Lepisosteus oculatus: one gene and its partners. Each later gene encodes a partner of the first gene's protein in a complex. Links are inferred from orthologs where the notes say so. Each region holds a gene or a part of one and is shown on either strand. Other genes may lie near its edges. The genes, in order: mks1, tectonic-1, b9d1 and tmem237b.

Region 1 (7,453 bases):
CAACTGGTCAAAAATAACCGCATTGCCTAAAATATGATTTCATCATTTCGCTAGATCTCTTGTGCTCCTCTAAGGGGCCCAATGAGAGACCCAGAGGCTGGGCTTGTTTGGTTCTGGCTCGGTTCTGAGGTGAATACAGATCCTGAGGCGTTCGTGTCGATGGCCCGGCAGTCTCTCGTGCTCTGGAGACGCCGGCTGTGTGTTTGAAGCCCTGCTCTGGCTTGAGCTGGGAACGTGTGCACAGGGAGCCTGACTCTTCCTCGGACCAGCGCTGTCCGCGGTATCCCCGCAGAGAGAGACCAGAAATGGGGACTCTGTGCTTCATCTTTCCCCGAAGGGGAACGTAGAGGAATCCGGAATAGTTGGCGATCATTCCCTTCTGCGCCACCGCTGCTTTCTTGCTCTGTCCCAGATCCCAGGTGTGAGAGGAAGAGTGGGAATTCAGATTCTTCCACATGCCAGTTTTGGAGTGAAGGAAGCCAAGGCTGATGTGGGAGATGTGAAGAAGCCCCAGAGCACTGACCCGCCTGCTTGTGTTTCAGCACCCACAGCAGCGCTCATGGGCGCCAGACCCGCGGTGGTGTACCGGCCATGTGGGGGCGCTGTCTGCACCCTGAATCTAGGAACTCTCCTGCTCTGACGCTGCTGTGCCAGGACTGTGCTGCTCCCATGGGGAGCCTGGACAGGGTCGGTGAAGACCCTCTGGGGTGCAGACTGCCTCCCCTGGAGCCTCTGCTGGGACAGAATATTCCTGAACCGTTGTGGGACGTTCGTGTCCGTTATCTCGAGGCAAAGATCATGAGCAGGAAGCATCCAAGCATGGAGTAGAAGACAAGATTGGGAAGTGTAAGTGGGCCTGAAAGTAATCTGTCTCTAGAAAAGCCCCACGTGCTGCTGCAGGCATTGGATTTCTTCCGGTACCTGTGGCTGCTCCCTTTCAGATCTTTTTCTCCAGCAGCCGTGAGTCAGGTTGAACAGAAAACATGCCCCCAGGCCAGACCTGCTGCTGCCTGTAATGTGTGAGACTGAGGTGCATTGTCCACATTTTCAAGGGATGCTCAATCACTATTTTAAAGCAAAGAGTCTGCATAGATTCTGATCTCTTTAAAAACTTTGATGAAAGTCTTTCATATACACACCAGCTCGATTGAATACCTGTTTGGCGCAATCGTGTGGCCCTTGACTGTACACAGTCCTGTTAACTCCAGCAGCTGTGGAGCAGTGTGATTCAGTCCAGTCTTGTAACATTGGCAGTCTGCAACAACAATGAGGTAACGTCCTGGAGTGTCCCAACTACTGCTTGCTGTGACAAATGAATGTGCACTTGAAGAGGGTGTCCTTAAGTATCTGGGCCTGATTATTTTTGCCTGTGAGCAAGGGGTTGGCAATCTGATTTGTTTATTGTGGAATGGGCTGTTTGCACACCATTTGCCTAAAGGGAAAATAAATTCCATTATGATCAAAATTTGGGGACTTTGTGCAGAGAAAGCATGTCGGTACATATATCTGTATCTTTCCACATACCCATATATTTAAAATACAAAAAGTTGGGTTTCCTTGTAGCAATGGGGGACCAGATGTGAAAATTTTAGAAAGGGAAGGCTTTTTTACCCTTGTGTGTGTGGTGGGGGGGGTCGACGCTTCATGTTTTTAATGAAGAGGAACAACAGCTACACATTTTGTTTTGTCCACTGAGTGAACAGCGAACAAGAGATTTGTTATAAGACGCTGATATTTACTCCTGGTCCTGGTAGCTACATTGGTAACTTACAAATCCTCAGTGGTGGAAGACTTATGAAACAGTAGTAATATAGATTAGTAAAGTGAACAGTTAATTTAAGAGTCCAGGGTGGAATGAAAACCAAAACATGGCTCTTCAGGAGCAGGAGTCGATATCCCTGCTTTCGATTAGAAATAAGTGTCCTATTGCATAGTATTTTGATTCATTTCAGTTATTTAAGTCTGCAATCTCTTATATATGGATGTTTATGGATTATTCAGTGTATTTGCATATATCCATTTAGTTAAAATGCAATTAGTGCTTTTTATGCTACAGCTCTTACCAACACTGCAGCTGGTAATTCCTGGAGTGGATCAAAATGCTCTGTTGTGGGAGGTGAGTTCTTTATTTTTTTTTTCCCCCCAGAGACTTTTGCAAGCAGAAAAAGGTTTTGTCACATAGTACGTCAATATTTTGTTAAATGACTGCTCATTTGCTTTTAAATTGGATGCCTTTGCTGGAAGTGTTTTTATTGTGCTGAGCATGTTCATTGTCTGGGCTTGACACTGTGTGAGTGGCGGAAGCAAGTCTTGGCTACTGTTGCTCATGCTTCAGCTTTGTGATGTTCAAGCGTAAATTGTTAAAAATCACGTCAAATCAAATTCCTACAATAACCGGTTTCCAGAGACTTAAAATAAGTAGTGCTGGGATGTATGTTTTTGTTTTTTGTACAGAACTTTGAAAATGTGTTTATTTAACTTTTTTTTTTAATTAAGCAAATCACAGCTTACCTCCATCCTCCAATTTTTTGAAGAGGCTGTAGTGGTGTGTTCTACAGTGCTTCTGTACTGCTGCTACAGCTGTTTCAGTGACACACCTGCGTATTTTAGAGATGTCAAGATCAAACTTCCTCCCACACTCTATAAAGACATGCTGGTGGGGTAATTGGCTTCTGGGAAGATTGTCTGTGCCCTGTGATAAACTGGGGTCCCATCCAGGCTGGGTCTTGCCCTGTGCCTGTTGGTTGGGGGAAGAGGGTGGAGAGTTCAGGGTCATGTTAGTGCCCTGTTGGTATGACCTTTGACCCTCTCCCCAGTACAAATAAAACTAACGTGTTGAGAATGAAGATAGTTATTAAAGCCCACTTTTCCTGAACTGAAAGCAAATCAATTAAGATGTACAATTATTGTGGAACGACTCAAAGTGCACAGCAGAGAGTCGTGAGTGTGCTTAGAGTTCAGCCTTTTTAGTTTTTCCCAACCTGTCAAGATGTTACACATTAGCGCTGTAGAAGCGATAGGTCTGTGAGTGAGACGGCTGAAGCAGCAGAAGAAGAGACTTAGAGCCCTGAGCCTGGCTCTGCCAGATCATGTTCTCACCAGATTGCTGGTGTGCTGGTCCTGTAACAAACACATCCACAGAGAGAGAAGGCTGTCAGTCCCCTATCATGAAACAAAGGCAAAACCTCCTGTTGGTTCTGCAAAGTCTGCTTGAGGTTTCTGATTCATAATTGTGTATTACTACGTTTTATTTTTTTCAAAAAGAAGGAGTTGGAGGGAGAAAAAAGAATTTGTATACAAATTGTATTTTAATGGAAGCTGAAAATGTATTTTTAAAGTACTGGACAACAACTTTTTATAAAGGAGCTGTGGATTTGGATGAACTGTGTGTTTTTTTTCAGATACTTTCTTACCACATTACCTTGTTTAACAATTCGGGGTTCAAGGAGTATCTTCCAAAACAAGATGATTGATTATACATGTAATATCTGTGAATTCAAGCTTACAGGAATATCTGTAAAAGGCCCACATGGAACAATAAAAATCTTGATGTGTAACTCGTCATCTCCATTGAGCATCTGAAAGGATGTCCTGATTAAGAAGAGGGTTTGCATTCTTGTACCTCTGGGTTTGATTGGTGGTTGTGGGGCCTGTCTGTGTGGAGTTTGCGTGTTCTCTCCTGGTGCGCGTGTGGTTTTAGCTGTGGTTTCCTCCCAGGAGCTGATGAGGAGCCCCTGCTAGCACACTGTAGTCGTAGCCCTGCGGCCCAGCCTTGTCCTCTCGGGATGGGCTGTCCTGCTCCGGCTCTGGCCAGGACTGGCGGCCTTCCGCTCGTCGCCAGGGCCACTGGGGGGATGATCTTAGGATGTTTCAATATATTTCAATATAGCGCCTTCTTTTCTCTGTGACGCATAAAACACCAAAGTCATGAGTTTGTGCTGGCTGTAGGGGGGCCAACTTCATGGAGCTCAAGGTAAGCCCTGCATGGTATTATAAATACAATATTTTGTACGTATTTTGAACCTTGCATTTTTGCCTTGTGTTCATTGTGTTTTGCAATAAAATATTGACTTCAGAGTAACTTGTAAAACTACTGAACAATCTAAAAGCAGGCATACGAAATACTTAGAACCGTTACAAGCAATAAGTAAAAATGAGCTCTTGCAGCTTTTCTTTAGCTAAAGACAGAGTCCTCATACGAGAGACCTTAGCAAACTAGCTGTCATTTGAACGGGATTTTGCCGACTCTCTAGACCGTGACGAGATTATCGCCATATTGAATTCCAAGCCCCGACGCCTGCGTCTGGTCTAGAAGGCCAAAACCTCACCAGAGGTAGGCACTGATTGTTTTTTTTTTTTGCATGTGTCCGTCGTGGCTCAGTAGCGTGCAGCAGCCTAGGTAATTGTGTGTGAGAGAGAGAGAGACCGTGTATATATACAGTATGAGGTTCCGCTAATTCTGCTGTTTGATTATACCGCTCGAGGATGACATTGTAAATTGAAGGGGTGCCCCTATGCTGGCAGGACGGTCAGTTAGAGCCCGGTCCACCCCAAAATCAAGTCCTGGCTACAGCCCCTGCCTCCACCGCCCTGTGTCGGTAAACCGCAGGAAACGAGCCCTGCCGTTACCGTGACAACACACACGTCCGCAAAGATGGCGGAGGGCTGGAGTGTGGATACGGGGGAAGGGGTTTATCGCTCCAGGGATCCAGTCGAAAACCTGAAAATAAGGTAACCAGGAAAGACCCGAAAACAAGAAAGATTTGAACGTACAAACAGAGCACTTCACAGATTCGTGCTGGTTCTTCTTGCCGGGAGTAACGTGGTATATTCAACGTTGCGAGTTCAGCTCGCCGGTTGAACATAACGATAACGCGTGTAAAGTGCACGTTCAGACAGCATCTAATCCAGTAGCGTTTTTAAAAAGAAGTACAGCATGTATTTCGACGTTTGCTTTTGGAGGTATTCCCGACATTCGCTACTTTATATTTTATATAAACGTAAGGGGTTGTTACATCCAAATGTAACGTTAGAGTTGTTTACAGTTTGTAAAGGAGGATTATGCTCGTACAGCTCCCTTTACTGTCGTATCGCAATTCTGAACACAATTCAGTGCTGTCTCGGTGCTGGAGTGTAGCAGAGTAACCTGTCAGTGTGGTGCAGCGCTGTCTCAGTGTGGCAGTGCTGGAGTGGAGCAGAGTACTGTGTCAGCATGTTGTGTCTCTGTGTTGCAGGGTGCGGCTCCAGCGCATCACGTCCCCCACGGTGTTCTCCCAACAGCTCCAGCAGCAGGCCTCTGCCCTGCAGGAGAAGGGCCTCATTGAGCTCCTCACCTTCAGTGCTCAAGCCAGCTCAGGTGAGTATGTGTGCAGGGCCCAGGCCCTCTTTAACTGGGACCAGTTTCCTGAGGAGATCCATATCCAAAGGGTGTTAGTAGGACGTCTGAACGCCTTCGTGTCTGGATCTCAGGTCAGGGAGTTAGCGCCAGCACAGAGCTTCCAGCATGGCAGTCGCTGATATGGAGCAAACCAGAGAAAAGTACAACCAGAGAGTATATATTTCCTACTGACGTCAGCTGGTGCTGATACCGTTTCTTGAGTGCTGGCAGTTCTTTAAAGAGATGCATTTCCGCTGCCAGGGTAAGGGTGTCCCGCCACACGCTCGCACACACTGTAGGAACACGGGTTCTGGTTTGTTTGTTGGCAGTGAGGACTGTGGAGGAGCGCAGTGCAAGTGGCGGCCAGTGTCTGCTGGGGGCCGCTCAGTAACGGGCCTGTCTTGTGTTCCAGCAGGCGGTCAGCAGGACGACAAGGAGGACGTGACGGTGGGCTGGCAGGAGAAGCTCTTCAGTCAGGTGGGGGCCCGGTAATTGGTCAGGTGGGGGCCTGTTCAGTAATTACAGATGCAGTAATAACATCGGCTGGGCGCTTCCCTGTCCTGATGGCAGTAGGGGTTACTCAGTCTTCAGTGAAAAAGCAGGAGGTACTGTAATGTGCTCAGGCTGCCACACCTGAAGAGTGTGACAGGGCCCTGGTGCTGTGGTGGGGACTGTGTTCCTCGCGCTCTGCGCTGGACGTCCTCGGAGAGAGTTCCCACACTCCCTTCTCTTCACGAGTCCAACCGAGTGAGGCTGCACACAGCACTGTCCAGTCTTAGGAAATCCAGGGAAAGGAGAGATGGATGTTTCTGAAAAGTGTGAAATGAATCCAGGAAGTCACCTAAAGCTGCATTATTATTGGGATTATTTTGCTCTACAATGATTTTGTTCCTGAAGAACCATGTCCGTGTTTTTAATAGGGAACCTATTTTTTCATGCCAAGCGCTAGCGTCTGCAGTAGGAGTGTAGTGGGAGCTGGGCTTTGTCTTTTCCCTGAGATGTTTCTCCTGACCTGTGGGGTGTGTGCAGAGTGAGGTGGCCCTGCTGCAGACCGAGGCGGCATGTCGAAGCCCCCTGGAGAGGCAGTACCATGCTGAGATCGCTGCTCTGGAGAGGGCAGGGGGGCGGGCCAGCCGCAGGATCTTCACCTACACCGACTGCGACCTGCTGTCCGGGGAGATGGAGGTGGGTCCGCTCTGCAACTGGCTCGGGCTTTAAAGGGCCAGAGATGCTTTCATGTTTATTGTGTGGCTGCTGCTCTTTCCTTGAATGGCTGTCTGTTGTTGCCTGTAGGATGCAAGGCAGAGTGCATATGAAGATGAGAGCACTTAGTCGCATTTGTGTGTCTCTGCAGCACAGTCTCCCAGTGCTGAACCCGGACTGGGCTGCCCCCACCTTGCTGGCGGAGAGAATGGCGCATGTGAGGCACAGGAGACAGGAGAGGCGCCCAGTGTGAGCAGCAGTCTCTTCTTCCCGCTCTGGCTGTACACATACACACAGCGCTGATAAACATTACTTTGCAAATAAATACAGCATTATGTAAAAGATGTAATATTTATTTGTACATTTATATGTTTTTTGCAAGTTTTTGTGAAACATGGCTCTTGGATACAAAACAAATTCGTAAGAAATCTGCCGAAGTATTATCATTTTGGATTGTACTGTGCCCATTTCATGGCCTGAGACAAGCTGAGTGTTACCTTTTTTAGGGACCTTTTAGTTACTCTCTGCCGTTCTTGAGGGCTCACAGAATGATTTGGTGTCCTAAGCTGAAGGAAAACGCCTCAAATGGTGTTGCATGGTGTAAGGAACTGTAACCTCCAAATATCACTTTGCCACCTTCACCTTCTATCCAGGGCCCACTCTGCTTCTCAATACGTTGTGACCTGTATGATGTCAAGCTACTGTTCACAACAGAAAAGAAAATGGTAAAATCTTCAGCCACATCACAATGTGATGTTTAAGACCAGCATGGTGCTGGCTGGGTGCAGTTCTACTTGTACCGTATGAGCCTGGATCTCTGTCTGACTTTGACTTTCCCACACCTGGCTTCTGCCCTCCAGGGAAGGCAGTGTG
Region 2 (7,727 bases), on another chromosome or scaffold:
TCACCGCACTGACTGTGCTCACACAGGGTGAATGAGGAAGTGCACCTCACAGCTGGCAGCCCCCTGAAGCTCAGCAGGAGTGAGCCTGGCCCGTACCTGGGTGGGACACCTCCTGGGAAAGCTAAGGTTGCTGCTGGAAGAGGTGGAACCAGTAGGGGGCACTCACTCTGCAGTCTGTGTGGGTCCTAATGCCCATAAAAGTGATGGGAAAACTACACTGTAAAAAAGGCACCATCCCTCAGATGAGACGTAAAACCAAGGTCATGACTCTATGTGGCCATAAAAAAATCCCAGGGCGTTTTTCGAAAAGAGTAAATGTGTAGCCAAACTGACCAACCTAATAATCCCCATCTATGAAATGGCTTCATTAATATGTTCTCCTCCCAAGAACTGCAGTAAGATGCAGGACATTCAGCACCAATCTGAAAGGAGACACATCCCTCATCGACATCACTACAAGCCTGCAGGTTCCTGAGAAGTTCTGGCAAAGTGTGTGTGTGTGTGTGTGGAGACACATCAACAAAGTTAGTGGTGCTGCTTTGCCAGTATACAATGCCCCACCAACTCTAATGTTGAGAATTTCTGCAAATTCTCTTATACAAGTTGTCTTAAAAATAACCGATGTAAAAATGTTGTACCAAGGCACTGGCAATCTCATCTGAAACATGAAACTGCAGGCTAGAGAGAGACGAAAAAAAACAATGTGAGCCTAAGTGGTTCAGAGAAGCAATACTGGCATGAACAGGAGATAAATGTTGATTTTGCATTATAAAGCAGTTACTTTCCTCTAACTGCAGTTGCAGTAATCGGGCTGTGCAGACATCCGATTTGCAAGCTGTTTGCACTCTCTTCTCTGAGAATTGATTTGAGCACACAAATACAAATCCTCCCTGAGGATTAGTATGACTCATTCAGCAGAATAAGAAAATTCAGGGAATCGGTCTGTTCACATGGAAATGGGTAAGATTTAGTGCATCATGTGCTATTAGAATAGTAGGAGGCAGTGTAAGAGACAAAGGTAGTCTTTTTGTTCTTTCGTGCGAAACATTATTCAATACAAAAGCACATATGGACTTAAAACATATGAAGGCCTGAAAGCCGATATTAAAACTTCAGATGTCACCTATTTTTGATACCTTAAATATGCAAGGCTCTTGTGACATGAGACTGTACTCAGCAATCCTTCAAAGTCTGACAAGCTTTCCAAGAAAAACAGTTACGCAGAGTTCAACATTTAATCCCACATGAAACAAAAACACAGATAATCGATGGTAGTCCACTACTGGCTGTGCAAACACCAGCCAATTCACACAACAAAGGCCCAAAGTAGACAAACCAAAAACATGACCCTCCTTATACATCAAGCAACACTCCAGAACCCTTGCAGAGAAAGCTGAACTTGCCGCCAGGTCACTTTTAGTGCAATTTAACATTCTGTACGGGGAAAATCAAAATATGTTTTTGTTATTGGGTTCATGTTGTGTTTAACGTATTTTGTTTCGTCTTATGTCTTTTGCCTGCAAAACAAATTTCCCCATTGGGGACAGTAAAAGTAAAGATGTTTAGAGCCGACTTGCTTCCTGATATATAGATCTGTTCAATTTGCTAATAAAATTACAAGGACCCAACAAGCAAATACAGCTCTCGCATGACTTCAGGCTGCTGCTGCAGGTGGATCAGGCGCTCTGTCGTCTATGCAGAGATAAGACAGGACTCGGATACAGATTCCTCTATAGGATGATCAGAGCTGAGCCTGCTGAAACGAACGTGCACATCAGAATTTGAGCCCTTGAAGATTGAGAATATGTTGCAATTTCTTCTATTCCTAGATAATCCCATTCTTTTTAAAAGCTGTTTTCTGAATAGAGGCTGCATCAGGTTTCCCAGAAACCGGTGGCAGACATCTTTCGTTTCTGTACAAAGGTGCGCGACCTGAGTGAAACACGAAATAAAATAAACACGCGTCCTTCGATGCATACCCCCTTGACATTCTCAGTTAAGATATGGGAATAACTAAATTTTCCTCAAAACCCCCTACTAACTACCACGGATTTGCCCTTCGAGGGAAAACATGTTTTTCAAGGTCATAGTCCGCTCTGACACGTATATCCAAACTGTTGACGTCTGTCCTAGTTCAAAAGGTGGGCAAGATCACTTTGCTGCCAAAGGTCGTACCTCCTGGCCAGCCCCAGTGTTTGCCAGCCCCGGCTTGGCAGAGAACACGCCCCAGTCGTGGGTTTTCACGTTAGGACGGGCGCCCCGGGGTGACACTGGGAACTGAAACAGCTGGCGGCGCGCGCCGCTCCCTCTCAAGTGCACCTGGCTCGCGCCGGAGAAGGACAAGGACGGCGCTCGCGGGGCGCGTACAGAACGTGACCCAACATGGCCGCCTCCATGCTTAACCACCCTGACCTCTGCAGAGCGGACACCGGCTGTCCGGAAACTAAGACTGCGTTTACCCCCCCAAAAAAAGAGTAACAACGCCAGGGTGAGCGAGGATTGATGAGGGATCTAAGACCTCGTTAAGGCTTCTAACATGCCTACGCCGAGACACTACGCTCAGCACACAAAATGCTTCCTGGTGCAGCAGCCGTACGCGGAAGATGAAATAACGATCCACATCTGTCTCGCAAATACACCCAGATGAAACCCGCAAGCGTTAATTGTAATCGGAACCTTTCTCCTCATGCTGTAAAAGCTACACAATGGAGGGTTTTTTAAAACACCTTGGGAGTGCACATCATCGCCACTAGTGGTGGAGATACAAAGCCTCAGTCTACATCTCGGCGATCGAGGTAAAAGGTCACGATCACTCGCTTGCAACAAATTCAAGCTTTTCTTAGCCGCACCAAAAACACTGAAGTAGTCCTTAACATTAGTAAGTGTTTAAGCACGGTAAAATGACAATAGGTTCAAATTCCATGCATTGCAAAAACGTAGAAGCACCGTGCAGATGCAGAGGCTCTTAAACACATCCTGCCACTTAATTAGCTCTGCAGTACAAATGCGGGATAATGCCGGCATTAAAATCTTCAATGGTGATGTGCGCCGACAGGTGCAAATAGAAACAGTGTCAGAGCTGCGTGAAGGAGTATTATTGCACGACTTCGGGGAAAATCGTCTCAAGACGCTGCCGGTACCGATCAAGTACCACACACCAGCCCGGTGCCACATGTTGACATGAGACCAGGTCATGCAGTTCAAGTGACATTCCAGAAAGGGTATTTAAAAATTAAGAAGCGCGATTTACGGTGTTTTCCTTAACCTGCGTGGACTCGTTTTACAGTACTGCAGCTCAACAAACCTCCAAGGTGAAAGGGCTCCGATGCTTGATCGTTTTTTTTATTATTATTATTATTATTATTATTATTATTTCGGGATGGGGGGTAGTAGGTCCGTTGGAGATCAGCTTTAAACGCTTCGCCCTGGCGCTGAAATCAAGAAAAATCGCCGGACTTACCCAATACATCAGCGGATCTATGCCGAGCAATGAAACAGGCGTCATCGCCGTAACACATCCCCTTCTTCAAAATCCCCTTCCGAAAGTCTTTCCCGAAACCGCAGCTTGCCGTCACCAGGCTGTAATCCCGGCTATCTGTTTGGGAAAGTCCGCCCAGGACAGCCCTGGCAACCAGTCTGCCATAGGAGAGAACGGACAACATCCCCCCAAAAATAGCAAGAGTCCACCTTACCTCCTACCTACTCTCTCCTCACTCTGCCTCACTCACTAGTCTCTCAACAAAACAACATGCGGTTACCCACACTAACGAACAGGGAAAAAGGTCAGCCCCACAGTCCCAGAGGAGGCGCCTTTTTAACGTCTTTTTTTGTTTTCTGAAAGGCCCAGGACGAAGAGTACGGCTGGGAAGCGTCTTCAGGTTTTGGCGTGGTATTTCGCGAAGCCGGTGGCTCTCAGGTGCTCCATCCTCTCCGCCATCTTTCCCTGCTCAAGATTGTACAAACGCCCGGGTTCCGGCGAGCGCGAGCTCCACAGAGTTCGGGGGGCAGTCTTGTGACTCCTTGACGTCATTCGTTGTTACGCAATAGGGGGTTTTCCTTAAAAGGCCATCAATCGCGACTTTCTTCAAACTACGTTAACGGGGGGGAAAACTGTCGTTTTGAAAGGATCTGCTCTCCCCGTATCATCGCGGTCATTTTTACAGACTTTTGTCTTTACATTTTAATTCATGCCATTTAATCGCCTTTCCTCCCACCAAACGACTGCACGGCTCACTGTTACGAAGAAATGAAACATTAATCGTATTGCTTAAATCACGCGTTGTAGCTCCGTCTGCAAGAGCATAAGGCATTTCAGAGATAATGCTATCGTTTATTATTTAATTTGGTTTGGTTTAAATTAATTTAATTTATTTTAGTTTCCTGGGAAATTATTTTTACAGGATTTTATTCGTTGTATAAAGTCTTATATTATTCCCCAACCATGCAATTGGACACTACCTTATTGTTGTTTCAATCAGGAACTTAAGTACACTTCTGTGCATTACAGTTCAATCTTAAATATTAGCTTTATTTGTAAAAGTAAACTTTGCACAGATATTTTACTGAAACATTTAAATGAGCAAATAAATATTACGATCCAGCAGAATTTACCTTAAGAGGCTTGCATATTAGACGGTACCCAGATGATAAGGACAAATATACAGTGTATTTATGACGTTGCCAGTACAAATCATAACAATGAGGTACTACCATCACGTTACACTGACATTCTGAAATTTAAGAAGATCCCAAGGTTGCACGGAGAGGTCGCTGAAACTGTCGCCATTGTGGCTCAAACTGACTCCGAATGATTACACTCTGTCCTTAATTGACCCCTTTCCAAGAGCCAAGATGGCGACAGCATGCGTAAAACCTTTCGTACTTATAACCTTGAATGGAGCTTTCGTAACACTATTATTTTAACGGCCAGAAAACACGAATTCGTTTTCTTTTACTCCCATCTTACATCAGCAAAATAATAATACGATCACATGAATTATTTTATTTATTTTACCCGGGATGCCCTTCCCAAATTCAGTTCCTGGATTCGAAGGCTCAACCGTCTGTTTACGGTTACTAAGAGCCATGGCGGTGTCGCTAAGGTTTTTGATTTTCTTTAACTTCGCCTCTATCACTCGTTTGCAAACGTTTACCACGTCTCTGGCGCAGAGTGGAGACACCGGAGCGACAACGGCAGACGAGCCGTTCCCCCCAGCAGACACGAACGACTTCAACACTACGGCGGAGAACTTTGCGGCAGCTTCTGTCTCCCAGACGGCCGGAGCTGCTCCCGAACCGCCGACAGCTGAGTCAGCCGAGACGGGGGCCGCACAGCCGACCAGTGCAAGCGGTTTCCCCTCTCCTCTCAGCACCCCTGAGACGAACACAGCCCCTCAACCCGAGGCGACAGCCCGGAGCGACGTGTCTCCGAGAGCCGAGGCGCCCTCTTCTCGGCCTCTGCCGCTCTCGGGTTCCCTTCCTCCGCCTATTACTAACGGTATGATTACACAGCAGGCAATGAGCAGTTCAGTGACAGGTTGGAGATATCTGAGGGACTTATTATTTTTATTGTTGTTATTATTATTAGGGCTGCCGTGCGAGTACAGGGCAGCCCGCACTCCGATCCTGAAATCAGATTTTGTTCTGGGTCGAAACAACTAGGCATTCACCCACCACCCATCCATGAGCATTATTTTGGAGGGTCGTCAGCGGTTGCTAACAGTCACTCTGATCCTCTCTCCTCAGTCGCGAACGTGTGTCCCTGCGATCTGCTGTCGAGTCAGTGTGACGTCAACTGCTGCTGCGACAGGGACTGCGAGGGCGATTTCGCTCTCTTCACCACCTGCACCGTCGACAGACTGATGTAAGTCATCGCATGGCAACGTCCTGCATTGGCACTGGGGCTTTTCCAGACTGGGGAACCGTGAGCTGTCCTGTGCCTCTCCCACTTCGCGGCTAGGTGGCGCAGTGCTAACAGCGTGGAGTTTGTACGTCCTTCACATGCTGGTTTCTGGGGAAATTGCCTCTGGTGTGTGTGGTGTCTGTGTGAGCCCAGAGATGGACCGGTGTCCTGTCTAGGGTGTATCTTCCCTTGAGCCTGGTGCTGGCAGATATATGCTCCGGTCTCCCTGCAACCCTGTATAGGATAAGGAGGTTGGAAAACGGATGGATCGGTGTCCTACTTCCAGTCCCTCCTTAGAACTTACCAGTTATCCTATGATCTATCTTGCTCTTTCAAAATCTTACAAAATGCTGCTTGTCCTATAGTTTAGAACATAAGCACCCTTTCCTGGCCTCTTTATTCAGCTCTATTCTCTTAGTTGATGTTCTGTTTCCCCCTAATTTATGACAATTCTGATACCTGTTTTTGACTAACTGTATTTATAGTAATTGTATTTAATTTATGTTTCCTTGTATTTGTTAGATCACACTACGTAGTAGTATACTGTGTAAGTTATTTGCAGGTAACGTGTGTGTATAATGCAGAGTGTGTCATTATATCCAAAGTGCATATATTAACACAATGTATTTATAAGACATCAGTCTGAGGAGTACTATGTATGATTATATCTATTAACACTACAATAATAAATAGAAGCTGCAAAAAGTAGCGTTTTAGCAATGATAAACTGTATGGATGAAAGCCAGTTTGTAAGTGTTACTTAGATATCGCCTTTGCTTTCTCTTTGCCATGAAGTAGTTATCTACAGTCCTGTTAACATGGACCCACACAACGTTATTTCTGCATAACCGGTTCCTACAACATTTTGCAGTTCATTTTCAGTCGAAGTGCCAGCCTGGATGTGCCACTGTGGGAGCAGTGTGAGTGATGGCGTGACACTCGGTCTTGTGTGTTTCAGTGCTGACTCCCGGCTCTGCAGCCAGCAAGCTGCTCTCTACACCATTAACACAGAAGATGGCCTAGCGCAGGTAGAATCCACTGTAGCGCAAGAGATCAACCCAGGTGTCTTCTGCATCCAGACTGCCAACTGTAGGTGAAGTTTCGGTTCTAGCAACATGTAAAAAGGACCCTTTATCATCCTCCATGACTGCAGGAATAATGGAAAGGAAAAAAAAAAAGTAGCCTTTCGCATGCCTGAATGTTACTCATACGGTATATGTGATGAGTCAAAAGAGAAACTGCAAAAGAGCTTTGGTTTTTCTTTAGATAAGGATGGCTTGTCATTTGCTTCTCCGGAGATTCCCACAGATGGGAATTTTGACAGTCTGTTCAGGCAGTTCGGTGGGTTCTTCTTCAGCCCCGCAGATGGAGGTGGGACCGATACCGCCCCCGACAGGGCAGACCTGCAGGCCGCCTCTGGCTACCAGGTAAACGTGCTGCAGTGGCTCTGTGTGTTTAATCTCCGCCACAGTTAGTGTAGGCCAGGACAATGCTCAAGTATTTCTATACAGTACATACAAGTCTCCAGGTACCTTCCGTAAAAAATAAAGCTGAAGAAGGCTTCACAGCCAAGACGTTGTGTTTTCTCTCTTCTCTTTTCGACAGGGAATAAACCTATCACTTGTTCCTTTTAAGATCTGGGAAGCTGTAGTGGTGTTTTAAATTTTAAAGTGATGGAATTTTACTAGGGTGGCGCAGCAATGCAGGTTTCCTCCCACAGTCCAAAGACATTCTGGTGGGTTAATTGGCTTCTGAGGAAATTGGTCCTGGTGTGAGTGTGTGTCTGTTTGTGTCTCTGTGCCCAGCCGTGGACTGGCATCCCCTC
Region 3 (7,807 bases), on another chromosome or scaffold:
GGTTTTTAGCAACATACACTTTGAAAGGTAGCTGTGTGGTCTTTATTCCTGCTTCTGCTTGTAGAACAGTTGTATTGGTAAGCCAAATAACTATTCTAAAAAATATGTATAAAATCAGACCTTTTCAGAAAATCCAATTTGCATTTTAATATCATATATAACCATAACTTCCAGAAGGATACGAAAGTGTAGAAGTGTACTGTGTGCCCTTGAATTATTGGTACTTGAGAAAGGCCTTGCAGATCTAAAGCAACCTGACATCTGAAGGATAGGCTCTTTGCATTCTCCTTGTAATAAAAAAAATAAAAGTGAGGAAAATGCAACAACAGCCTTGGGAAACTTCTGCATTCAATGAATTCAACAAGTATTTTACTTCATCTGCACATTCATTTTACTGTTGGTTCTCTGGTTGGGCATAACCTACTGTTTTTGAAAAGCTCACTTAAAACTGGCTGTCAGGACATTTTTCAAGAGAAGCAAATAAGGGCCAGATACCATGAACACAGAATTTAAAACCGAGTGTGGTAAGGCAGAGCTCAATGGTATTTTCATAAAATGCTTAATCTGTGTTGTGGCGGTGTTACCTTGTGAACTTCTGTAGTCTTGAAGTAGATTCTGGAACAAACATTGGAATAGTTCTCTTGTGTCTGAGAGAAGAACACAGATTAATAAGATTTTTGTTTTTGCACACTGTTCACAGGTTCATTATTAGTTTTCTGCTGCAAGGTGTACTGTACAGCATGCTGCACTGCACACAGTGCAACTCAAGGGGGCAATGGATAGCAGTACCGAGGAGAAGAGCAGGAGACTTACTGGCCAGGGGTTATGGGAACATGAACAGCGCCATATCCTCGCACCACGTCATTGCCGAACGCGTCCAGTCCGTACACACTGACCACGATCTGGGGCCCTGCGCAAGAGAGCAGACACCTGCACCTTAGCCCAGTGAAAGCCAGTCTCTCTTTTGTGACAGCCTGGCCACAGCGATGATAGAAATGGAAGTGGTGCTGACAAAAATACAGTTCTTGTCACAAGCAAACGAAGCCCAGCAATTGTTCCTAGTCATTCTTAACTGCTACACAAAATTACGCAGAGCCAGATCTTCCTTTGCCATTGACATGCATTCTTCAACAGCACTGCAATGGAGGTGAAAAACACCCATCTACAAGTATATTTTGTCATATATAGCCAAATATACAATTTGTGCAGTACTGTGTCTAAAAGAACCTTTAGTTCTGTTTCTAAAAGAAAGTAGTATAGTTTTTCAGTAGTGGGTAATCGGTGTCAGTGGGTGTGTCACTCACATCCGAAGGGATTGGTGCTCTTGAAGGTGATATCCAGGGGGAAGTTCCACACACAGCGCTGCTGGGAGTCTCTGCTCTTGGAGGCGATCTGGGAGATCCCCTCCTCCAGGCCCTGCCAGGACAGCGACAGGCATGATCGGAACAGCCTACGCTGGAAGTGAGGGGCCCGCTGGACGCAGCCATACCTATCTGGACGGCCATTCCCCTTCCAGCGAGCTACTGAGAAACATCCAGTAAGGAACTGCATCAGCTGCATGGGAACAGGTAAAGATTTATTCCAGGCTGAAAGGAAAAGAAATGCAGTGGTTTGGACAGCCACTGCCTCCACACGCCTGAAGAAGGCTTCAAAGCCGAAACCTCACATCTCTTCTCTTTTCCTTTCAGCATGGAACAAACCCTTACCTGTTCCTACCGAGAAAGACGTTATAGTCCCTCAACCTCATCTCCAGTGGTCAACTGTATAGATAATTCCAACAAAGAGGTATTTAAGCTCCCGAAGTCCATATTTGTGTCAATTTATGTGTGAATAACAATAAATGACTCCTCTTGGTGTAGCCCTTCAACAAAACACACATCACCTCATGCAAAATGGATCTCCCAGCCTTTGCCCAAGAGGCACAACAACATTTTGTAGTGTTGGCAAGAGTTTCTCTCTGGCTAAACACAGAGTTTGGCTTTTCAGTGGGATTAAAAGCTACCAACTCTCTTCACCATCTTAGGTACTGTGTGATAATACGATTTCAGAATTATTCTTAAACCGAATGAAGGTAATGCTTAAATTAATATTAAACTTTTGTTAAAGTCATATAACTGCTAAACAACTGTTAGAAAACAGGACTAGTTTATGCCATTAGAAAAAAAAGGCTGGCTAAATATTTCATATTTATTACGGTAAACGATTTAGTTGTTTCCGATATAACTTTGTCTTTCACATTACTGAAGTAATACATCGTCCTAATTGCAAGGATCTTATAAAGCAAGGCAACATCAAAAAATGAGCTGATCACAAGCCTGGACTCTGGACCACGGAGATCTGGGAACTGTGAAAACCAGGGCAATATATTAACAACACGAACGTGAAGTTTAAATTGAGGGAATAAAAGCAGTAGAATTTTAAAGCAGAAACAGTACGTTATCAATATAGCAAGCACCCTCAAGCTTAAGTGTCTCACCGAGGTAGGAGCCCAGTCGTGTCCGTATACAAAGCAATATTTGCAGTACAGGTCGTCATATTCTGGAAACTAAGAGACAGTAAAATGGAGATTTAACGAAAGAAAAACAATTTTTACCACTTGGAACAGCGCTCCGTTCAACACACATTGAGCCTCTGAAGATACTACACATGTTTTTAAAAGTTAGCAGAGAGACGGGTTGTATTATTTTACAGAACATGATGTGAAACGGACACTGATGTGGCCACAGGAAAGCGTATCCAGTCTCGTCTGGATCTACAGTAAGTAAAAACAGGAGGCTCTGTGCGTCTAGAAAGGCGGATACTCACGCTGGCTCCCTCTATCTGACCGTTTATCATGAGCAGAAAAACAGATGGATTGGCTGACATTCTGCCCTGTCTCCACACGTTTCGAAATAATAATAATCTGAAAAATATGTTCTATCTCATTGCTATTGTTATTTATTCCTATTTGCTCTCCTGTTAGTGTCACCAACGCCTCTGGATACCAAGGACGCCTCCTGTATGGCACAGCGTGAGGACCAAACAGTGCAAGGTAAAAAAGCGATTGAAAAAACATCGCCCTCTCCTCCTTTTCAATGCCCAGCCCCGTTAGGTTTATGCTTTTACCAACAGTAAAACATAACCTTGAAAGCCAAGACAAATACTACACCACATTAGCACACAGGGTACTGTGTTATGTCACGAAGTTATCATCTAAAAGGTTTCTCGTCTTATCATCTCTGTATACACACCTGAAGAGCTCATTATCGCCTTCTCCTCTAGATGGTACTCATGCAATGTACAATCACTCTGTTCAAGTTTTTTTCTTCAGCCATCGGAAATTGAGGTGAAATGAATGAACCAAATGGCTACAATGCAATCAGTTAGCTGCTGATTGGAGTGCGCGATGAAAGGACGGTTTTCTCTCAGTATTGGTGCTCAGCAGTAGGGCTGTAAAACGGCCGTGATAATAAAAAAAATGTTTTTTACGTTGCTGCTTACATTAACGCAATCTTTATTAGCTTCTGAGAAATAAAACATTTGGCTAAATGAGGCATCTACGCCTATATTATAACAAGAAGTTTTCTTTTTCTTTCAGTTTGGCAAAAAGGTTGGAAAAAGTCGTAAATTTGAATCCTTCTTTCCTGTTTACCAGCATAATAGCGAGTCTAAAATTAAATCTGACCTCATGCGAAGGATGGTGAACATTTCACATGTGGTTAAAACATTTTCGTTTAGTATTGCATTTAAGACCGTTTTAATCCATGCTATCAGTAGAAGGCTACAGTGACTGCAGAGTGAGACGAACTGGGTTCTTCTCCGCAGGTGCTGACGCGCCTTGAGGTGGGACTCGCGTCTTGCCCGGGGCGGCCCCGAGTTCAGCCACGGCGACTGCGGTTACAGTTAGTGGCGGCGCCGGAGATATCATGAGTCAGAGCGCCGTGTTAACGCGTGTCGGGTCCCTGAGTGTTTGTGCTCGGTACGTAGGGATTAGTGTCACACACTGCCTGTCATGTTAGTTCTGCCGTCTGCACAGTTTGGGTACAGCAACACGGCGTGACAGAGGCAGGCGGGAGGGCCGTGATACAAAGCGCTCCAGGAGATAGTAGGAAGGTAGCAATGACACTGACAGAGAGAGTGGGAGGGGGCAGGGACTGTAACGAAGTTTTATTTCAGGCTGTTTACGGTTCTTTACGTCTTTCTTTTCTTTCTTGTGTATCTTAAAGGTCAGGACGCAAAAAAAAAAAAACCCAAACTCCAGCGTGCGTGAAGATGGGGTTTCTGCCAGGCTCATGTTAGGGCCAGGCTCAGGCGAGTTACGAGCAATGTTTTGCCCAGATAATTCGCTCTCTACCCCTGCCGGAAAGGAAGTGCAATACAGAATGTGTACCTGAGTGCCGGCCCCTTGGTGTCTAATTACTGCAGTATTCTCCAGATGGAGGAGGGAGGATTTGGGTCTGTCGTGATTTCTCTTAATTAGCAGGAGGAGGATATGATCAACAAAGCTACTGTTTTGCGAGTCTGCCACGGTTGCACCCTTAAAAAAAAAGCCCTGAGATGAAACGTGGACACGTCTGCCCTTTATAAAACAAGCTGAATCACATAAATGCAATTTGCTGCACCAAAGCAATAGTATTTATAGTTTCATAATTGTGCTGTTGGATGCTTAAACAGAACTGGCGAGCTGTGTCCGAGAAATGGATAGATGATGAGGGTGTAGTTCAAGCCATTTTGTTGTTACTTTTGAACTCTTGTTTCTTTGTTTTTCCTGGGGGTTGTTTCGCTTAGCATAGATCATGCAACGTGTTCCTTCAGGCTCTGTAAATTAACCGTGTTCCTGTGACCTACAGAAACCACCCCCAGGCTGAGTATACCATGCTTTAGCAGCTGCTTAGAAGACCTCTAAAAAAGACTACCTCCCCTCCCCTCAGACACTCCCCTTTTCTTATGGTAGTAACGGTGAAACAGAACATCCTGCCTGACTAGATAACTATCCTGGGTGGCAATGGTTAAATAGTAGCACCATGGCGCCCCCTGGTGATCAGTCCTAATGCTTTGCAGCTACAGTGCTGCATGCGCTCTGCTGGGTGTCATTGCTATCTCTGCACTCACTGATACAGTGACCTTTTCTGTACGGAGAGCTAAGCATCACACAGCCCACTGCCCAGTCACGACAGCTGCCTATGTATCTTATACTCTTCCTACCAAAGCTATCTCAAGTAGGTTCGGACTGTAAGACAGAGCTATTTCCTTTGCTGAATGTGTGTTTTAGGGTATGAGAAGACTATCTGCACTCTTAAGTCTTTCAGGACACATGGTCTTTCATCATCACCATCCCATAATGTCCTTCAGTCCTCCCAGTCATCACTCCCTCTGTGTTGTTTATTGTCAGTTCCATCCTGAAGCAGGTCAGGAATGTGCTTTAGTACAGGCAGGAAAGACAAAGACCTTCATATAGCCCAGACTGAAATTACAGCAGACAGGGAAGATATCAACAGATGGCAGGCCATTTATAGAGCACTGTTGACGGGTAAGCGTTTGCCAAGATGGAATGGACTTCAAATATTTTGTGAGTGAGCGTTGAATAATGTCAATAACTTGGCTCCACAGATTTGGGTCTCTGTGAGGTAGTGACCTACGAAGGACTGGTGTCCCACCCAGGGTGTATACTGTCTTGTTCCCGATGCTTCCTGGGACAATGTGACCCTGGGCCACTGGGAGCCCGAATCGGATCAGGGGTTTTCGAAAGGGATGTGATGATGATGTGAGGTAGTGATACGTGGCTTTGAGAGAATGCCACCTGTTGATGGGGGGGGGGGAAACTGAGGAAAAAAATGAGGCACATCTGGGGGCAAATTGAATAATTGGCTCAGAGAAGGGGTAGAATTCCATATGAGGGAAATGATCTCATAGGATAGGCTGTGGAGGAATTGGCCATGCATCTGGGCTAATTAAGAGATCTATAAGAACAGTTAAGAGGAAAAAAGTTTCAGTCTGTGTTTAGGCTACAGCCTAAAAGGAATGAGTTTGAGAGCTCCAGAGTGGGAGATCTCATTAACAATGGACTGAGCTGCCTTACAGACCTGTGTAGCTCGGCAAGTGAGGGATGTTTGAGAAAATATAGCTTAGCTTGTACTGCACTGTGTAGTGAGGTAGCAGCATACAGTGCCTTCTTCCCCACAGCTGAGAGTGAGAGGGAAGTATAGATGAGTCCTGTGTACTCCCTATGCATTAACATCAGCAGACAGATGAGCGATGTCAGAACATGAGATTAGAACCAAAAAGTATGTCAGGGATGTTGTTTACAGACAGGTGTCTCTGGCCAAAAAGGATTAGCCACTATCGTTAGCAATAAGTTAATAGTTGTTAGTGAAAACAACAGCAGAGATTAGAGTGGAAGTGATAATTTTAGAGTAGACTGCAACTGGGCAATGTAGAGTTAATAGAGCTGAATTCTGTGTTGCCTGGCTATGGTGAAGTGAATTTAATGAAGACTGTTATTGGGTGACAGAGTCAAATTAAATACTCCGTGCCTGATTGTTAGTGAATAGAGATTAGTGAAGATTAAGAACTGGGTGCCATGAAGTTAAATAAGTTGATCCTTCAGTGCCTGGTGATTAATGAATACAGAGTGATGAACTGATGAGAAAATCTAATTGATGTGATGAGCATGTGCAGTGTTTAGTGCCTAATGAAGACCAAGAGCGAAGAGTTAGTGAGCACATCTAGTGTCTTTGCTTTGAATCAAGTAAAGAGCAACCTGAAAGGAAGAACTTGGCAGACTTCCCTGAAAGGAGAACAAATAAGAGCTTACATCCCAGGTGAACGACTGAGCACATAAAATACAGAAAAACTAAAGTAACATGCTGGTGGTGAAGAGTTCATGGTGATGTGACATGTGCCTGCACAGTTTATTTAAAAAAAATATATAATCAAATATTTAGATTTTAGTAGCCTTATAGAAGATTGAGACACACCTCAGCAACTGCAAACTGTTAGTAAACTAGTAAAGAAAAGAGATTTTATTATAGGGGGTTCAAACTCAGCTCCTGTAAGGTATAAAGTCTTCTTGTTTCCCGAGCTTTAGGTTGCATATTTGCTTTAACTATGTAATTGCCTTTTTCCAACCAAGCTTCAAGTTTTCACATAGCTTTAATTTTTTTAAGTTCTTTCGTATCGTCTGACAATAAACATCACTCTGCTGAATTTAATGAAGTGAATGCTTTGAGTAATTGGCTTCAAAAGCCCTTCAGAAAAAATCCCACTCGTCTAATGAAGCAATCAGGTTAATTGATTAATTGACCACTCAACGTGGAACAAAACCCAGATGACACTCGGCCCTCCAGGACTGGAATCTGACATCCCTGATCTAATTTGAATTAGCAGTGATTCAGTACAGAAGTGATAGTGGTAGGCATTTAAGGGTTTTGTTCTTCCTTAAGAGCTCATAAAAAATTGTGCTGCTGATGAGATTGTTGCTGATGTGCCATTGCATGTAAAACGCATCTTTATAACGCATCCATAGCCATCCGTAAGGGAGGGGAAGCAGGCTTGTTTTCATCTGCGAGGGCTGTGACGACAGACAGTGCAGGAGACACTTGGGGGACGCAGCCCTGAGCCCCTTGGCTCTGTTGAGGGAGCAGGAGGTGGGGCTGAGCTTCAGAGAAGTGCCAAACTGTGCTGGCTGTGAGCGTGTGACATGATGGAGGCCGCAGGCCCTCACAGACCTTTCCAGTCCTCCTTGCCCACTGCTGTTATTACTTTGGATCTATTCTCAGCCTCCCTCATTACTATTTTAGGAGCGCTGTTTCTGAAATGGAAAAAGAAA
Region 4 (8,011 bases), on another chromosome or scaffold:
GGACTTGAATACCGTATGTTCAGTATATTTTGATCTGTTGAAGGAACACTGCACATCTGTGCTCTTACTGGGAGCTGCAGGGCTCCATATTAATTTAATTAGGCCAATTTAAACTTTTCCCCAGGGCTTAAAGCTGGAGAAAGAAGGATTTCTGCACAAATGTGTAGTGCAGGTGCTCTCCTGGTGTTCCACAACTCTAGCAAAATTCGTGTTTTCAGAACACCCCTTATGCTAACGTTCAGTGTTTCCTGTGCCAAAATGAGTTCTCCCTAATACTCTGCTTGTGTTCCCCGATAAAGTAAGACATATATCCGGATCTTTGTGCTTTATTTTCTCAGGTCCCTCTGGAGTCGGGGTGAATGAGCTGCGGAGGCGTCTGATTGAAATTAACCCCAAGATCTTTCAGGGGGCCATTCCACGTACGTGCTCTGTTTACATGTGGTTTGGGCGTTCTTCAACATTAAGGAACATTGCTGGTGATCTAGGGGTCTTGCAATGCTAAGCCTAATCTGAAAAGCTTTAACTGACATTTAGATTGCTCTCAATCCTTAACACCTTTGTGCTTTGTTTGAAAGATTGCTCCTAACCCTGCTTTAATTCAATGTGCAACAATTGTGAATTTGAATCATATTCAGAAATTGGGAAAAATAGTGTTTATCTCAGTGTTTGCCCCAAGCGCAACATTTAGCCCAACATCAACTATTGAGTTTCATCCTCCCTAAACAATAAAGCTCCATGTAACAAATACATCACTTAACAATTAACAAGAAAGACTTACTTGCCACATTCAAACATTTCCTCATTTGTTAAAAGAGAAAAGTTTAAGGGCTTATCAGAAAAAAGGTTTTATATATTTTCAAGGTCTTGACTCCTGAAATAAGTTTTCAGATGATCTGCACAGAATTTAAGTACAGGAGAAAATAAAGTAAGCTGTTTTGTTTGTCAAAGTGCTAACTGTGCAAAAGACCATCACCACAGCAACTGCAGCTGTTTAAAACAGTTGATCTGTTATTTATTGAGTTTTGTAACACAATATATTTTCATTTATCAAAAAAGCTAAAACCTAATTTTTGGTGGCTCATCTGATTTTATTTGATGTGTCACCAGACTGAAAATACATTTTGTTAAAGTGTGTGGCAGTCATTTTCTTCTTAGAATACAAAACTGCCCAATTAGTTTAATTCTGTATTGAGCATATTGACTTACAGTGACATAAATTCACTGCTCGCTGTGAACCGATTTATATCAACCACATATTTTGGGTTGGCATTGATACTAACTTATAAGGAATCCAAAGCTTTTGTAGAAGTGTTCTTTTCCTTTATTTTTCAATTTGAGATTGGTGCCTGTATAATAAAAAATCATATTATTGTGATGAAATACAAGGGATTCTTATTGTTTTGTAACATAACCTAGCAGCTTATCTTGGGAGAGTAACGCAGTTTGGTCATTTAAAGACTGCTCAGCAGGCAAGTATAAATCTGTTCAAGGATTATTAATTCCAAAAATTTTTAAAAACAATTGCTTTTAGCCTGAGTAATGGCTTATCAGTAGTGTAACCTTTTTAATGTTGTATTGGGCCAGAGCCGTTGTAGGTTTTGGTGTGTTTAATTATTGCTGTTGTCTAATGGGTAAATTTCTTAAACAGACACAACCCGACCCCCAAAGAGCTATGAGGAGAATGGGAGAGAGTATCACTTTGTAACCAAGGAGTTGTTTGAGAACATGATTCACAGTAACAGGTACTATTTGTTTCAGTAACACTTCAGTACAGGTACAGTACACAGTTTCTTGTGTAGTTTCAATAATTGAAATACAGTAACTGTTTTGCTCTCTGTGTTTGAAAGGTTCCTTGAATATGGGGAATATAAGGGCCATTTATATGGCACAAGCATTGACTCTGTCAAGGAAGTTCTGGAGAATGGAAAAATTTGCATAATTGACCTAGAGCCACAAGTAAGAATTTCTTACTACTTCTTCAACATGTTGTGATGTGAACTTCATACACAATTTGACCTGATGTGACACTTAAGTAAACAAATCAATCGTTCAAGCGTAATCTTGCTGACTGGAATTGTACAACAGAATGACGTTGTGTTGGGGAAAAAATTACAGAAAAAATTATGCTGGAATTCTGGAATTCTTTTAGGTGTTCTGCAGCTCCTGCAGGCCTTGATTCATAGCAAACAACTTTAAACTTTATCACAATATTTGTGAAAAGCTAAAAACAACAACCATTAATTGTAGTAAATCTGTTTTACAGGGCATTCAAGGTGTGAGGACACATGAACTCAAAGCATATATCATATTTATTAAGCCATCCAGCATAATTCGCATGAAACAGACAAGGAAGAGTGCCCGTATCATCACAGATTATTACGTAAACCGGCCTTTTAAAGTAAGTTTTCATTTTCAAAATGTATTTTTCTTGTTCTTTGGGAAAATACTTGAAGGACAGATTTGTCAGCCTTTAGGAATCTTCTTTGTTCCTTTTCACTTGTTGAATGTGTTTCTGTACTAATCAGTATAGAATCAATTAATAAGCGTATTTATAGCGTTGCTGCATCAAAATACTGTATTTTTATTACAAACTATAGTATACTCTCCCGTAATGGTAGAAGTGCAGACTGAAGTTTGGAACAAATGTTTCTTTTGCTATATAGTACTGACATTTTGGTGACAATGTACAGTATACAGGGGAAAACTCTATTCTGGTATTCAGTGCACCACACAGACTGCTTCCTTTGGAGTGATGCTGAGTGGCTATTCCAGAGAGGGCCACTATGAAGAGCAAAGCATAAGTGATATACAGGTTATACATGGCTCAAACGCAGACTGTATCATTAGTCAACAGTGACTGGGTTTTTTCCAAGTGGTGGTGCACAATGTTTTCACAGCTTGGTGTATAACAACAATCCCTGTGAGTTAGTGGACAGAGGTGAGCTTGTTGACTCCTCCAATCACTTCTCTGCTGTTTGTAATGCTTTTAAAGTTGGGTTGCAGAGCTCTGTACTTGAGCAACAGAGAATTGAAAATCCTACTGAACGGAGAGAAAGGGGCTTTATAATTCCATTGTTATTTTAAAATATGAAAAAGATGGTGCTGGCGGACGGTGCTAAAATGGTGCTCTGCTTCACAGGAGGAGGATTTCCAGGAAATGGAGGAAATGGCGAAGAAGGTGGAGGCCCAGTACTGCCAGTTTTTTGACCACGTGATCGTAAACGACAGCTTGCAGGACTCCTGTGTCCAGCTGTTAACCGCTGTGAGGCGGGCACAGGACGAGCCGCAGTGGGTTCCAGCTCTGTGGCTCAGGCCTGCAGAAGAGTCCTGATAGAGGAGAGGGGAAAAAGGGACAAACCACACCAAAACACAGGGGTAAACCTCATCCTAGCCCAGAGACTGACTGAAACTGTGAGCTTCACTAACAGTATCTAAAGCATAACCTCAGTGCTAGAACGATGCAGTGTGCTCAAAGTTGTTTCAACGTTTTTATCAAGTTGAAGGACTTTTTAATGACCCATACATAAAAATCCTAAATGCTGGCAGTATAACAGCAAGGTTACTGTTAGAGGTCTCCTTGCAATATGGAGAATTTAGGGGCCAAAATACTTATTTTTCCTGTATTTACAGTATCCTTGAGAACTCTGGGAATCCTTTATTTTCCCTGTGAAATGACTCCAGTATGATATCACCTTTAGAATTGTTGAAGGAGTTTTACTGTATATCAACCATAATTCCTGTCCTTGTCCTTGTCCATGTCCTTAAATTAGACAGAATTCTTCTTGCTTTAGTTCCTGAGTGATGTTTTGTTTTTCAATTATTTAATCTAATTTATATTACAATATAGCCGGATTTAATGGTTTGTGGCAGTCTAGATTCCTACAGGAGGTCGCCATAGTGTGTGTTAATGGGAAACGCCTGGCTTTAGAAAGGCACAGAGATTGTGAGATTTTACAACAGGATATTTATACGATGTACCAAGAACAGCCCAATAACTTGTGTTTTCGTTATCCTTTAAAATGTACTTATTGACCATGATATTTGATTTGAATATCACTGTTCAATTACATAAATCTGGGTTTCTACAACTTTTAATGCTGTCCTTTATGCCATAAGGTTATGTCGTAGTATCTGTGATGAAAATTTAATTTACTAATTTTGGAACACCTGCCTGTGTACTCAGGTAATACAGACGGTTATAAGTTAACCTTCTCAGCACAGGCTAGTCATAATGACTGTTAGATCTTTGCAATTTTTATGTATACCAAGATAATTGTGGATTTTATTGTACACCTTTGTATTTTCTTTAAGTGTATGGTTTAATAATTTATTTCTAAATGTAAGAAGAGAGTAATGTTTTAAGTGGTTCTGAAATTGTTTAATCATCAGTTTTTCAATAGTTCTAAAAACAAATCAGGGGGATTTCATTGCATCACAGACCGCTCCAACATACAGTATAAGCCGAATTACTGATTTGTGAATTCATTTGTATCTAACCTTAAAATTGTGATCTGAAATATAAACTCTTCTAGTTTATTCATCACCTCAATATGGAATTTATAAAACAATCTATAAATTCTTTTTATAGAATAAATGACTTTGACTTTGAATAATCTACATATATTTGAGTGTTTTCTTGTTTTACTGTATGTACCACCATTTTTATTTAAAAACACCAAAGTTAATTACAGAACCTGTGGTACCACAGTGTGATTTACTGTAATTTGAATCTTTAAGTTTTCTGAGAATCCAAAATACAATGTTAGCCGTTTTTTTTTTAAAAAAAGATTTCTGTTGTCTAAACATTTTTATTCGTTTCTTTTTTAAGTAGGTTCTGCTGTTTTTGTGCAATATTGGTAACAAAGAGTGTTATATGAAATATTTTAATAATATTATTAAATGCTGAATTGATTGATATTTAAGCTGTACGTTTTGTGGTTGGACTGAACATTGTCTACTCTGCTCCATTTAATGTCATTAATGCGGATTAACGTGTCGTCATTCGAACCGAAATCTTCATACAACTTGATCCCTCTCGCCATTTTTAGAATACAAATTCATTATTCATTATTAACAGGTCCCCTAAATGAGAAATCCAGACATTTTCAGGAGGTAAAAAGATTTAATGAAGTATCAAAATCCTAACGTTGGGTGTTTGTCACTACAATCAGAGCTTCCCAGGTGCGTCCATCTATCCAAGAAGATACGGGATGATGGAAATTGCGCTTGTATTACAAGAAATAATGTAGCCGTGATTTAACCCGGAAGTAGACATGATTGACCTCCCACTGGCTCGTCGCTCTAGCAACAACGGTGTACAACAGCATGGAATTTGGTGTTCTGATTGGCAGTTTTGTTGTTATTCTTCTTTTTGTACAGTAGTTTTCTATCTTCAGAAGCTTGTTGTATTGACTTTTTAAAAATGGATGAAATTCCACGGGTAAGTGGTTTGAAATAAAATCGATCGAATATGAATGTTGAAAAAGGTGTAGTTGCAAAAGTTTAACGAGAAGCCACCTCACTTTTGTTGATTAAGATGGGTGATTATTTAAAATGTCTTTCGTGTTCATAGATTGTATTTTCAGTCTTGAAGGCCGAAAATTTTGTAAAAGTAATACTGGCTGAACCGTTTGTATTTAGTTTAGCCAGTATATACACACTAATGTCGATTAAAGTAAAATATATATTTTAAGCAATGAAGTGTCATTCTTTAATTAGAAAAAAAACATTCCCTTTAGTTTCAAATACTAGTACCAGTCGTTTTCATTAAGTATACATATTTCACGATATTATATACAGGAAGAGTTTCAAAAATGTTTGGTGCCCTAATATTTTTAAAGCTGGTTTGAAATCTATCTTCTATCCTTTTAACGGTATTGTCCATCTCGGCAGTAATAGCTGTTTTTGCATTAACTAGTACTCGCCTTGAATGAACACGGCGACAACAAGAACTTGCACTGTTGTCCTTTAAAGAAATGAAAATTGTATAAGAACTATGACGTTTATTTCAGTATTCTCTGTAATATGTAATAGCCCATACACGAACGCACATCATGAATGCGACATTCAAGATAAGTGAAATATTTATTGGGTTTAAAATATCAAAGCAAATGTGAACAAACATATAAATGCAGATTTGTCTAAGATGGTATCCAGAAAAATGTCTTTGCTCTTTGCCTGTTATTCCTTCCTTGTGAGCCCTGCTTTGCACTACAGTCCCAGCTACACAGCTGCTGGCTTTGATCCAGCCCGGATCTTGATCCTTAAGTAAACTAATAAGTCGTTTGTTTGGACTGAACTCTACAACACTGTAACGGTTGTTGCGTCCTCTGTACGTTTTGTTAGGAAGGATAAGGATTTGTTTTACCTGGATTTAAATCTGGCTTCCAAAAGAAGGATACATCGCACAAGGAGACGACTCCCTTACAAGGCCGGTGTTAGATTTGCTCCTGTATGTTGCCAGCAGAGGGCGCTGTCGCCACAACCACCTGGTAAATTTCTTTCAACCAAAATGTGGTCATATGCTAGCACGCCTGTCTGCACTTATCTGTGCAGTTCTTGGATCGTTTCTTTTTCAGGAAGGGATTTTTACTTCATCCATCTAGTAAACGCATGTAAGCCCTTAAGAGTGATTACCAATGAGAGGAGTTTATTTGGCCCTTCTCCATATCCCCAGGGATACTTTCGACAGCGTGGCTGGTTAGTATTTGGCAGACTCCTACAACTCTTTGTGTAAAGATGTGCATCCCTGATTTCCACCCTAGCTTTACTGTTGATCCTGAGGCAGTTCTCTCTGAAGAAAAATGCTGTGCTCATTTAGTCTGTGTGAGCATTACACTGTGAAGTATACATTTTGGAGGATTTTAAGTCCCTGGTCTAGGGACTGATTAAACCCTACAGCTTTATTTTGTTTCAAAAAGGGGAAAGCAAGCTAGAGCCCAGATAGTGGAGGTCTGCAATTTAAAGGTGCCCTCTAATCAAAGGCTTTATGCCATGAACTCAGAATGGGATCCTGTGAGAGAGATTTGTAGCAGTATTGTTTTTTCAGGTCTTTTTTGGGTTCACTTATGGCCCTGGGGTCCTGTCTGTGTGGAGTTTGTATGTTCTCCCTGTGCTCTCGCAGGTTTCCTCTGACTGCTCCAGTTTTGTCCCACAATCCAAAGACATGGTGGTAGGTTAACTGACTTTTGAAAATTGGCCCTTATGTGAATGGTGAGTTTGCACATGTTCGTATTTGTCTGTGTGTGTCCTGCAATGGACTGGTGTCCCATCCAGGATGTAGCCTGCCTTGTGCCTGTTGCTTACCAAGATAGACTGCTGCTCCCCTACAACCCTGAAGTGAATGAAGTAGTTAGAGGATGGGTGGATATTGACCCTAATGAGCTGATTATTTCTTTAAAGTATTTTTTTCCTTTTTAGTTTAAAAGGAAAAACATGAGGCCTTTGAATGTTATTTTTCAAACTAAAGCAGGGACGCTAGCTGAAGATCGTCTCCGCACCTACCAAGGTCAAGTGCTAGCATACAAAATTTGCAGAATAATTCAGAAAACAATGTGAAAAGAGAAGATGGAAAAAACAGGAAAATGCCAGTTAAATATAAGATTGCTATTAGTTTTACACAATATCCTTATTCAAGCTTTTAACCACACTGGATTTATTAAATGAATAATTTTCCAGATTGAAGAATTTGTCTCTGTACTTTTACGCTGTGACAATCAATTCTAATGAAATGATTATATCACATTCTAAGTAATGGCACAAACTAGCTAGGAGGCAGATGCTAAAAACAGCAAAACAGCAGGAGGGGCCTCTTTCACATTAAATACAAGTAATTAATGAAAGGATGGTGTGGAATGGAGCGAACCTTACAAAGACTGTAAAACCTGTTCTTAACACAGAATAGCCAATCGAATTCAGGATTTAAAAGTAATTTTATAATGGAGTGATTTCCTTTAGAATCTTGTTTAATGACCGCATGTGTGCTTTTGCCAATAATACTGCCTGATGCGAT

Evidence for each region.
Region 2: mks1 (region 1) and tectonic-1 share a complex: the UniProt entries of both Homo sapiens proteins name them as parts of the tectonic-like complex. The link is inferred for Lepisosteus oculatus from reciprocal best matches to the Homo sapiens genes MKS1 and TCTN1.
Region 3: mks1 (region 1) and b9d1 share a complex: the UniProt entries of both Homo sapiens proteins name them as parts of the tectonic-like complex. The link is inferred for Lepisosteus oculatus from reciprocal best matches to the Homo sapiens genes MKS1 and B9D1.
Region 4: mks1 (region 1) and tmem237b share a complex: the UniProt entries of both Homo sapiens proteins name them as parts of the tectonic-like complex. The link is inferred for Lepisosteus oculatus from reciprocal best matches to the Homo sapiens genes MKS1 and TMEM237.

What each region holds. Positions count from the first base shown.
Region 1 is NC_090721.1:453,756-461,208, reverse strand, and holds the start of mks1 (tectonic-like complex member MKS1), read left to right. Parts: upstream 1-4,440; 5' UTR 4,441-4,654; coding exon 4,655-4,731; intron 4,732-5,234; coding exon 5,235-5,356; intron 5,357-5,789; coding exon 5,790-5,854; intron 5,855-6,406; coding exon 6,407-6,562; intron 6,563-6,731; coding exon 6,732-6,829; intron 6,830-7,440; coding exon 7,441-7,453. UniProt on the Homo sapiens protein: Component of the tectonic-like complex, a complex localized at the transition zone of primary cilia and acting as a barrier that prevents diffusion of transmembrane proteins between the cilia and plasma membranes.
Region 2 is NC_090717.1:10,245,616-10,253,342, forward strand, and holds the start of tectonic-1, read left to right. Parts: upstream 1-4,725; 5' UTR 4,726-5,019; coding exon 5,020-5,497; intron 5,498-5,745; coding exon 5,746-5,863; intron 5,864-6,860; coding exon 6,861-6,991; intron 6,992-7,168; coding exon 7,169-7,329; intron 7,330-7,727. Other genes in the region: pptc7a (protein phosphatase PTC7 homolog), read right to left, coding at 3,461-3,662. UniProt on the Homo sapiens protein: Component of the tectonic-like complex, a complex localized at the transition zone of primary cilia and acting as a barrier that prevents diffusion of transmembrane proteins between the cilia and plasma membranes.
Region 3 is NC_090714.1:12,532,692-12,540,498, forward strand, and holds the start of b9d1 (B9 domain-containing protein 1), read right to left. Parts: upstream 3,018-7,807; 5' UTR 2,866-3,017; coding exon 2,806-2,865; intron 2,546-2,805; coding exon 2,477-2,545; intron 1,417-2,476; coding exon 1,305-1,416; intron 911-1,304; coding exon 814-910; intron 648-813; coding exon 585-647; intron 1-584. UniProt on the Homo sapiens protein: Component of the tectonic-like complex, a complex localized at the transition zone of primary cilia and acting as a barrier that prevents diffusion of transmembrane proteins between the cilia and plasma membranes.
Region 4 is NC_090707.1:34,917,747-34,925,757, forward strand, and holds the start of tmem237b (transmembrane protein 237B), read left to right. Parts: upstream 1-5,011; 5' UTR 5,012-5,422; coding exon 5,423-5,440; intron 5,441-8,011. Other genes in the region: mpp4b (MAGUK p55 subfamily member 4), read left to right, coding at 339-419, 1,649-1,742, 1,848-1,956, 2,264-2,398, 3,140-3,331. UniProt on the Homo sapiens protein: Component of the transition zone in primary cilia. Required for ciliogenesis.